Linked DNA regions of Macaca mulatta. The protein of the gene in region 1 purifies or fractionates together with the protein of each later gene. This does not show direct contact. Links are inferred from orthologs where the notes say so. Each region holds a gene or a part of one and is shown on either strand. Other genes may lie near its edges.

What was found.
Region 2: the proteins of PTPRR (region 1) and MAPK14 purify together in Homo sapiens (affinity purification with mass spectrometry; 4 studies listed by BioGRID and IntAct, counting the BioPlex papers as one, with this or other methods). This does not show direct contact. The link is inferred for Macaca mulatta from reciprocal best matches to the Homo sapiens genes PTPRR and MAPK14.

The regions. Positions count from the first base shown.
Region 1 is NC_133416.1:77,999,260-78,003,861, forward strand, and holds the start of PTPRR (receptor-type tyrosine-protein phosphatase R), read right to left. Parts: upstream 2,890-4,602; 5' UTR 2,542-2,889; coding exon 2,484-2,541; intron 1-2,483. UniProt on the Homo sapiens protein: Sequesters mitogen-activated protein kinases (MAPKs) such as MAPK1, MAPK3 and MAPK14 in the cytoplasm in an inactive form.
Region 2 is NC_133409.1:146,226,505-146,231,079, reverse strand, and holds the start of MAPK14 (mitogen-activated protein kinase 14), read left to right. Parts: upstream 1-1,620; 5' UTR 1,621-1,970; coding exon 1,971-2,086; exon of another isoform or gene 2,087-2,313; intron 2,314-4,575. UniProt on the Homo sapiens protein: Serine/threonine kinase which acts as an essential component of the MAP kinase signal transduction pathway.

The DNA.
Region 1 (4,602 bases):
ACATCCCATCAACCCTTTCCTCCCATCTCTAAAGCATTGTAAGATGTCATCAGTTCCACCAGCATAAAGCAGTTGCTGATACCTTGGGCATAACCAAAATGGATCAATTAGCTTTACAATTAAAGAGACGTAAATGTATAGAATTCATTTCCCTTCTTTATGAAGTCGGCCTCTGTCCTGAGAGAAAAGTCTTCCACAAAAGTAACAAACTCACACCTTCAACAAGTAGAGATACTAGTGATTTCTTGATCTTTGTCATCCTGTCCACTTATTTTGTTAATCTCCAAATGTATAGAAGCTTAGACCAAGGAGCTATGTTTGTTTCAGTTCTGATGAAAAGCCCTAACAATGTCATTAGATAACTGTGATAAATTTTAATCTGATAACAGCTTGTGACCCACAAATTGCTGTTTAAAATTAAAATGCATTTAAAATACAACTGGCAAGAGAACTATAATATTAAACTTGCAATCTGTTGTGATAAAACACCAATATATTTCACCATATTAAATATGAATACAATGAATATTCAGCATCTTGCAATTGAAATATAAAAATGTCCTTAAATGCATTGTCTTATTAAATTAAAATTGGTTGATTAATCTTACTTTTTATCTTTGTTTTGCAGTTAAAAAGTTGAAGTAGAGATGGATTGGATTGGCTTTGGTAATACACCCTTTGGCAGAGCTCCAGGTATAATCTAGGGCTACAAGCTTTTAGGTTTCTCATTTGATGAGCAAAAGTCCTCTATTTTTCTCATCCCAAATATTCATCTACAGTAAATTAAGACATGTTTTTCACATGCTTAAGTTTATTTATAACTTTTAAGATATAATTACTCAAGGTGTATTAAATGTTATCTTTAAACTCTTTTATATGTTAGTTTTGAAAAAAATGACTACACTGCTATTGTTGGCAGACCAACTAAATCATTGCTAACTTAGTAAGAATTGAGATTTTTCTGTAATGAATGTTTGTATCAGTCTATTATTAAGCAATACTATAAATAAAACTCAACCCAATGTGTATGTTTTTGTCCCATATTTCAGCATTGAAGAATTGTATGTGGTAATGAAAGAACTCACTACAGCTGTTTGCAAATAATTTAATAATCAAGTCATAGCTATTTTCTGGTTTTCAAAATGTACCAAAGAACTATTGAAAACCCCACAATATAACATCATAATTATAACAATTAACATGTGTATTTAATAATAGCTTTAATAACCCTATGCATTATATGCTCAAAAGATTCATGATACATTTAAATAATAGCATTAGCTGGAATAAGAAAGAACCATATTTCACTCCCACTATTGTACACAGAGAATAAAATTCACCCACTCTTTTAAAAAAGATACCGCAAGGATTGTAATTTCAAACAATTATTTTTACTCATTACCCCTAGAACATAGTATACGCTCAGCAAATGTTGGTTGAAGGAATGAATGGATATGTGTGATTGGATGAGAAGCACACTCAGGGAAAATGCCTAGTCTCTGGTTGTTACAGGACTGCTGCATGGACAACTGCTGTCACAGTAGGGTTTCTAAAATATCTCTGCCACATTTTATTTCGGTTCATGTGTATGTGACAATGATAAGGAATTCAGCCCAGCAAGTCCTCTGCATAAAATAGAGGTGCTATGTATCCAAAAAGCAGGGACACCACATACAATATCTCTCAGGTACTTCCCCAGGTTTGCTTCCACACGATACTTGATATTGATTCTGGTGCCTCAAATCTATTTATATTTGGGAGCAGTCTCACTGTTACTCTTGGTTACACCTTATCAAATCTGTCCTAGGGACAGTGCCTATCCCAGGGTTTGAACTGTAATTTTTATTTTTATTTATTTTTTAGTGCCAGCGGACGCTAGCCATGGTGCTGAAAGAGACAAGAGGATTCTATTTGAAACCTTTCCTTCCTCTTATTGGTTTAGAAAATTCGAGTGACAAGAGCAGGGGCCAAAGGAGCCTGGAGCAGCATCACTAATGTGAACCATGTATTTCGATCTTTTGGGCGGAGATGTGGTCCATCAGGTTACAGCCAATGCCTTCCTATGGGCGCTCGCTAGACCAAGAGACCTTAAGAATGTAGCCGCTGCAGTAGAAAAGCTTACATCCAGCAGAATGTCTTGTCCCTCTCCTGAAAAACTGACAGTTAAGTGCATAGCCTAGAAACAAGAGCAGGGAATCTAGACGGAGGGGAGGCGAAGGGGGGAGCAAACCTGCATTCATATTGAAAATGTTCACTAGTTTCGTGTAAGGTAAAGAAAAATCAAGATCTAATTTTAGCTTAAGTTTTCGGCCTCAGTTTTCCAACAGGTGCACGACTCCCTCACCCCTTTCCTGTCAGGTACTGTCCTGCTTTACCTTTTTGGAAAGGCTTTCTTCGCAAGGCAAGCTTTTCCTAGAGTCCTTAAGCATGTGCAGTTGCCCATCTCATGCACAGCTCCGGCTCTACGCCTGGCAACCCCTTACCTGCAGTGTGAAGATTAAGGAGCAGGCACAGCGCAGGGAAGCCGACTGCTCTCCACATAGTGTTTGCATTGAGAGGTGGAGGAGAAACTCCACCACGACCCCTCTTCAGGTAAAGTACTATTAGAAAGAGCCACCGCCAAGGGTCTTCTAGTCTCCGGGATTCGTTCGCAGGTCCTCGGCTGGGGTTTGCAGAGCAGTCAGTCTGTGGCGCCGACACAAACCAGCACCGGCTTCAACCTCCCTAAGAGAGGGAGAGAGGAAGAAGAGTAGGAGGTTGCGGGCAAGGGGAACAGAAGCGCTCAGAGGCGGCAAATGCCTGGCCTTCTGGACGCCCAAAAGCCAAGGCGGAGACGGCAGGGTGGACTCCGCGCCAGCCCAGCAGCCCAGCAGCAGCGCCGCGGCTACTGAGCATGCCCAGCGCCGGCCCTCACGAGGCACGGGAGTTTCAAAGTGAAATTCCGCTTCTCCGGGTCTTAGCGGCGGCTTGGAGCAGAGTAGGCTCCATCGCTGGGGTGGTGGTGGTGAGGGGTGGGGGAAGGGGGAAGTGCGGGGGAGGCGCTTGCTGTGGTTACTAGGGACCCAGCGTCCATCAAAAATCCGAGGGTGGGGTGTAGCTGGGTGAGAGTAGATAGGGGTATGACCAGAGAAGCCAGATGGGGGAGCTGATGACAGCGTCAACCATGCCACCCACCCTACTCTTTCCCCAAATCTTGATTTACAAGTGGACCGAGCTCACTGCCTAGAATTGGCGTTTGCAGATTGACCAGCTTCCCAGGACTCGCCTACAGGAATAGAGGTGTCTTCCACTACTGAGCATTCTGGCTGCTTGGGGAAAGCGTTCCCAAGGCAGCTTGCTTGGTGTAAGCGTAACCATATATCTCGCGAGCGCCTTCGTCCTTCCTACAGCTTCCCCCTCTTTGCTTCTCTTTCTACTCTTTCCAGCTCAATCCCTGTATTTAAACTTTCTTCTGACTCAAGTCCTCACAGTGTGACAGAAAGAAGTGAGACGATACTTTTAGACTAGTAGAATATATCCATGTGATTGAAGCAAAAGAAGGCACCTTTTTGTTTCATGGAGGTAATTATCTTTAGTTTCCCTTTTACTCTTTATGGTGAAAGATAATAGATCACTTCAGTGCCGGGGCTCATCCGGCCCAGCTCTGTGGGTCTAGGGAGGCTACCACAGTCTGCCTAATGTAGATGGTTTTTTATCCCCCCATCTAAGTCTTTGGAGTGTGGAAAGCGTTATTAGTCATGGCTAATTGCCGCTAGTCAAGTCAAGAAGGCCCTCAGCTAGACTTCTCTCTTTTAACTATCCCAGGGCCACTGCCCTTTTTGCCTCTGTGTCTTCATGGATGTTGTTGCGTCTTTCCTATTTTCCTCCACTTGCACCACTACCACACTAGAGTTTTCGAAGGTGTAATGTTGGTCTCACTTTTCCAGAAAGCCCTAACTCTAACTAACTCTAGATTACAGTGATCTTTCTCTTCCATAACACTTGTTTAGCAGTGCCTCATGTTATTCTTTCAGACAGTTCATTTATCTGTGGTTTGCTTTACAGCACATTGAAGGCTCCATAAGAACTGCTGAATTTTGGATTCCATTAAATTGAATAAAGTTGTCCTAGCCAAATAATTGGGGCTAACGAGTGCTCATCGAGTTGAGCTGCACATCTCATTCAGTGCTTTCTTTCTCCATCCTCTGTGAATTGAGACAACTAATGGGAAATAGGCTATCCACCAGAGCTTAAATTAGGTGGGACCTTGCAAGATCAGAAAGCCCAGACGGTACCATTTATATCTTTTATGATTTATGTCAGCTTCAGCTCTGAGAGCAAGGCCAGGAAGCACTCCAACAAGTGGAAGAGGGAGACAATGAGATGTATTTTTAATAACTTGACAGGCCTTCTCTGCTGAAAATAGAGACATATGCAGTCCCTCTCTAGCAAGTGCTGTACCCCCTACTCCCCCATGCGTGTGGCACACTCCATTTCTGTGGCACTATCATTTCACCCCAAACCACTCTAAGCTGCAACCTCTTCTCCTATTCCTGATTCACTGTCCTCCATTTTACTTTTCTACTTACATATCACTTTCTAACAAACCAAAATAATTACTTA
Region 2 (4,575 bases), on another chromosome or scaffold:
CAGGGCAGGAAATCTCTTGTAAAAGCTGGAACTAAGGTTCAGGAAAGGTCATTTGACTTGCCTAAATTCGATGAGACTTCTGCCCTCTTCTCCTTACTCGAAGAGGCCTGAGTTGAATGCTTAAAATCCTCTTCACTGATGGCTCTTCAGGGTAGGAGTCAGTTTCAAATCTTCAGTGTAATGGTTTTTTAAATGCTTCTCAAAGGGAGATATCAGACTTTCCTGAATCAGAATTACCTAAGATGTATTATAAAAATACATGCTCTTGATGCCTTCCTCTGACCTACCCAATTAGACTCCCTGTGAGTCCTGGGAACTTGCATCTTAAACTCCCAGGGTGATTTTTCTGCATGTAAGTTTAAGAACTATTAGGAGAGTTTGAATGGAAAGCCTCAGCTTTTTTTTTTTTTTTTTTTTTTTTTTTTTTTTTTTTTTTTGAGACGGAGTCTCCTTCTGACGCCAGGCTGGAGTGCAGTGGCGCGATTTTAGCTCACTGCAACCTCCGCCTCCCGGATTCAAGCAATTCTCCTGCCTCAGTCTCCCGAGAAGCTGGAACTACAGGCTCAAGCCACCATGCCCAGCTAATTTTTGTATTTTTCAGTAGAGACGGGGTTTCACCATGTTGGCCAGGATGGTCTCTATCTCTTGACCTCGTGATCCGACCGCCTCGGCCTCCCAAAGTGCTGGGATAACAGGCGTGAGCCACCGCGCCCAGCCCCTGGAAAGCCTCAGCTTTGATGCAGGGTTAACATTTGCCTTTGGGACATATTTCGTCAGCATCTCGAAGAGTAACCCACATGTAGAGTAACCCATATGTCCTTGAGCAGATGGGAATGCAACAGCCTTCTGGCCAGAACCTGTCTCTCACTTTTTTTTTTTTTTTTTTTAATTTGAGACGGAGTTTCGCTTCTGTTTCCCAGGCTGGAGTGCAATGGCGCGATCTCGGCTCACCACAACCTCCACCTCCCGGGTTCAAGCGATTCTCCTGCCTCTGCCTCCCGAGTAGCTGGGACTCCAGGTGCGCGCCACCACGCCCGGCTAATTTTGCATTTTTAGTAGAGACGGGGGTTTCGCCATTTTGGTCAGGCTGGTCTCGAACTCCCGACCTCAGGTGATCCGCCCGCTTCGGCCTCCCAAAATGCTGGGATTACAGGCGTGAGCCACCGCGCCCTGCCACCTATCTCTTTTTCATGCAAGTGTTTTTTGGAATTTGGGGGTTCAGCTGAGCAGGTGCTCCGCTGCTAGTAACTACTCGCAGTTAAAGATCTTTTGACTCTTTCCCCGACACGCTATTTGTCACTGTCGTTTTCCACCACAGAGCCAGGTATTTGCCCTGCCGGCCACGGTGGGGCGCGCGCGGCGTGTGCTGCCCGCTTATCTCTTCCTTCCCTGGTCCGCCTTCGCGCCCTTAAGGAGACAGTTCCTGGGAGTTTCTGCCTTTGGGCTCCAGTTGTTGCTCTCTTCTCGCGAGAACTGCCCCTCTCATCCTCTCCTCTCACGAAGCCCCGCCCGCGAAGAGGTTCCATATTGGGTAAAATCTCGGCTCTCGGAGAGTCCCGGGAGCAGTTCTCGCGAGAGTACTGCGGGAGGCTCCTGTTTGCTGGCTGTGGAACCGCGACCACTGGAGCCTCAGCGGGCGCAGCAGCTGGATCCGGAGTACTGCGACGCAGCTCGGAGTCGGCCTTGTAGGGACGAAGGTGCAGGGAGATCGCGGCAGGCGCAGCCTTGAGCGCCGGAGCGCGTCCCTGCCCTTAGCGGGGCTTGCCCCAGTCGCAGGGGCGCATCCAGCCGCGGCGGCTGACAGCAGCCGCGCGCGCGGGAGTCTGCGGGGTCGCGGCAGCCGCACCTGCGCGGGCGACCAGCGCAAGGTCCCCGCCCGGCTGGGCGGGCAGCAAGGGCCGGGGAGAGGGTGCGGGTGCAGGCGGGGGCCCCATAGGGCCACCTTCTTACCCGGCGACTGCCGCTGGAAAATGTCTCAGGAGAGGCCCACGTTCTACCGGCAGGAGCTGAACAAGACAATCTGGGAGGTGCCCGAGCGTTACCAGAACCTGTCTCCAGTGGGCTCCGGCGCCTATGGCTCTGTGTGGTGAGTGTCGCCGGGCCTGGGGCCGCTGTGGGCAGGGTGGCCCCTCGCGCCCGAGAGCCAGGCCTGCACGACTGCTCTGCGTTGCGTCAAGTGGCAGGAATTTTCCTCGGGGGAGGGCCTTGCTGCCCCTTCGAGCTCTGCCTGTTCTGCACCTCCTGCACCCCTCGCCCTGCACTCACGCGGGTATTGCGGTCCACCGTGTGCAGCGCTCAAGTCCGCTGCGAGAGGTAGGTGGTGGTGCTGGAGCTCGGTTCTGGCTAGCACCCTGCGCCTTCGCCTCTCGGAAGGTTGCTGCTCGGCGGCAGGCACCGGGGGAAGGGCTGCTTCCTTGGGGGTCTCCCTCCGGACCTGGAGCAGAAGGACCCTCTCCCGCGATGCGCCCACGCTGTGGCGCCGGACCCTGTCCTCTGAGCAGACAAGCTTGGGGAGCTGCCGGGAGAAGCAGAAGGGCAGAGCGCAACCCGAAGACTGCGGTCATCTAAACAAAACTGACCAGGAAGGGAGCTCTCTCCGGGCCTTTTTTTTTTTTTTTTTCCCCAAACCTCTGTCGAAATCCCATCTCGAGAAGTGTTCTTTTTGAATTCGCACTTGAATTAGCAGCGATCCATAGAGCTTAAAATACCGACTTTATCTCGGTGAACACTGTGCCAGCTTGAGTGGTGTGTTTCCGATTCGGTTGAAAGCGTATTTCCTTTCTGTGGAGGGGCGGCGGTGGTAGTGCCTGCAAGAACGCTGCAGCTTGAGAAACTGGCAGTCTCACTGATTAGTCACATACCACTGCTCATTTAAGTATTGTTCGACAAAACAGTTTTTTCATTTGGAGCAAGAAAGATTCAGATCTGTAAGGCGCCCTCAAGATCAAAAAATTATTAACAGTGCTAGGAGGTATTGTAAGTATTTTTTGAGATAATTCCTGCGAATACTGTGTTTTAAAAGTCCCTTTCAGAGTTTGCAGGGATTTATCTAGTTATCTGCATTTATGGCCTGAGGTACACGATGGTTTTCGTAAGGATATGGAACCACATAGAAAAGGAAGGGAAGAGATACTTTTTAGCTTTAATTTACACCGTGAGTGTGTTTTAAATTAAGTCGATACCATGTAATTTCCAGACCTGAAATATTTCACTAACTGCTCTCTAATTTTCAAGGTTTTATACCCTGTATTTTAGATTTTCTATAATTTAAAAGCTACGGATCTGAAACTAAATATCAGATTTAACTGTTAGCTTTTTCTGTGTTTTAGTAATTCGTATTGTATGCGTCATTTGAAAAGGGGCCTGTAAAATAGTTTTTTGTTTTGGAACAAATTCCAGGCTTTTGGATGTGTTAATCTTTAAATATGATTTCTGTGTTTCCCAAAGTCACATCATGAATTTCCTGTTTGGTAGAATCTTCTGGGTAATTGAGATTGTGCAATTGTGTCCAGTAACAGATCATATTGCATTTTCTAGTTCAAGCTGCTTAAGTTATGTTGCAGATGGCACCGTGCGTGACATCTTTCTCCCATTTTTACAGCATGGCAGTTTACATTTTAAAGGAATTTGCAGGATTTTACATTCAGAGTGTGTGTGTGTATAGTTGATTTGCAGCATTTTACATTCGATATATACATGTTAATATATGTATATCCATTCAGTATATACATATTATGTATATCTAGTTGATTTGCTAATTTTCAAAGATGTATTTGGATCATTGTTCTTTTAATATTTTATAGCTCATTAATATACTTCCATTTTTTCATTCTTGAATTGACACATTCATTTCTGTAGTATCACGTTTTTGTTTTCAATGCTATTTAAATTTTAATGGAGTGATAACAGCAGAATAACTCATCTATAGAGGGTTTGGGTGAACTCCAGTTGAATTCCTCGCAAAGGTTCAGTACTGTTGGTGACTAGCTCTGCACTGGAACAGGAGATCCAGATTTACAGTGAAGTACCATTAAAATTAACTCCACATTTCTTTAGTGGTATATTTTTCTGTGGTATAAAAGCCAGCAGAGGCCGGGCGCGGTGGCTCAAGCCTGTAATCCCAGCACTTTGGGAGGCTGAGACGGGCGGATCACGAGGTCAGGAGATCGAGAAAGTCCTGGTTAACACGGTGAAACCCCGTCTCTACTAAAAAATACGAAAAAGTAGCCGGGCGAGGTGGCGGGCGCCTGTAGTCCCAGCTAACCGGGAGGCTGAGGCAGGAGAATGGCGTAAACCCGGGAGGCGGAGCTTGCAGCGAGCCAAGATGGCGCCACTGCACTCCAGCCTTGGCGACAGAGCGAGACTCCGTCTCAAAATAAAAAAAAAGCCAGCAGTATCTGACACTTAAAAGTACTTTTATTGAACAGATTTTTAAAAATAGGTAATATATTCACATTGTATAAAATTTGAAAGTTTTAAAAAGGTATTCAGTGGGCCGGGCGCGGTGGCTCAAGCCTGTAATCCCAGTAGTTTGGGAGGCCGAGGCGGGTGGATCAGGAGATCCGGAGATCGAGA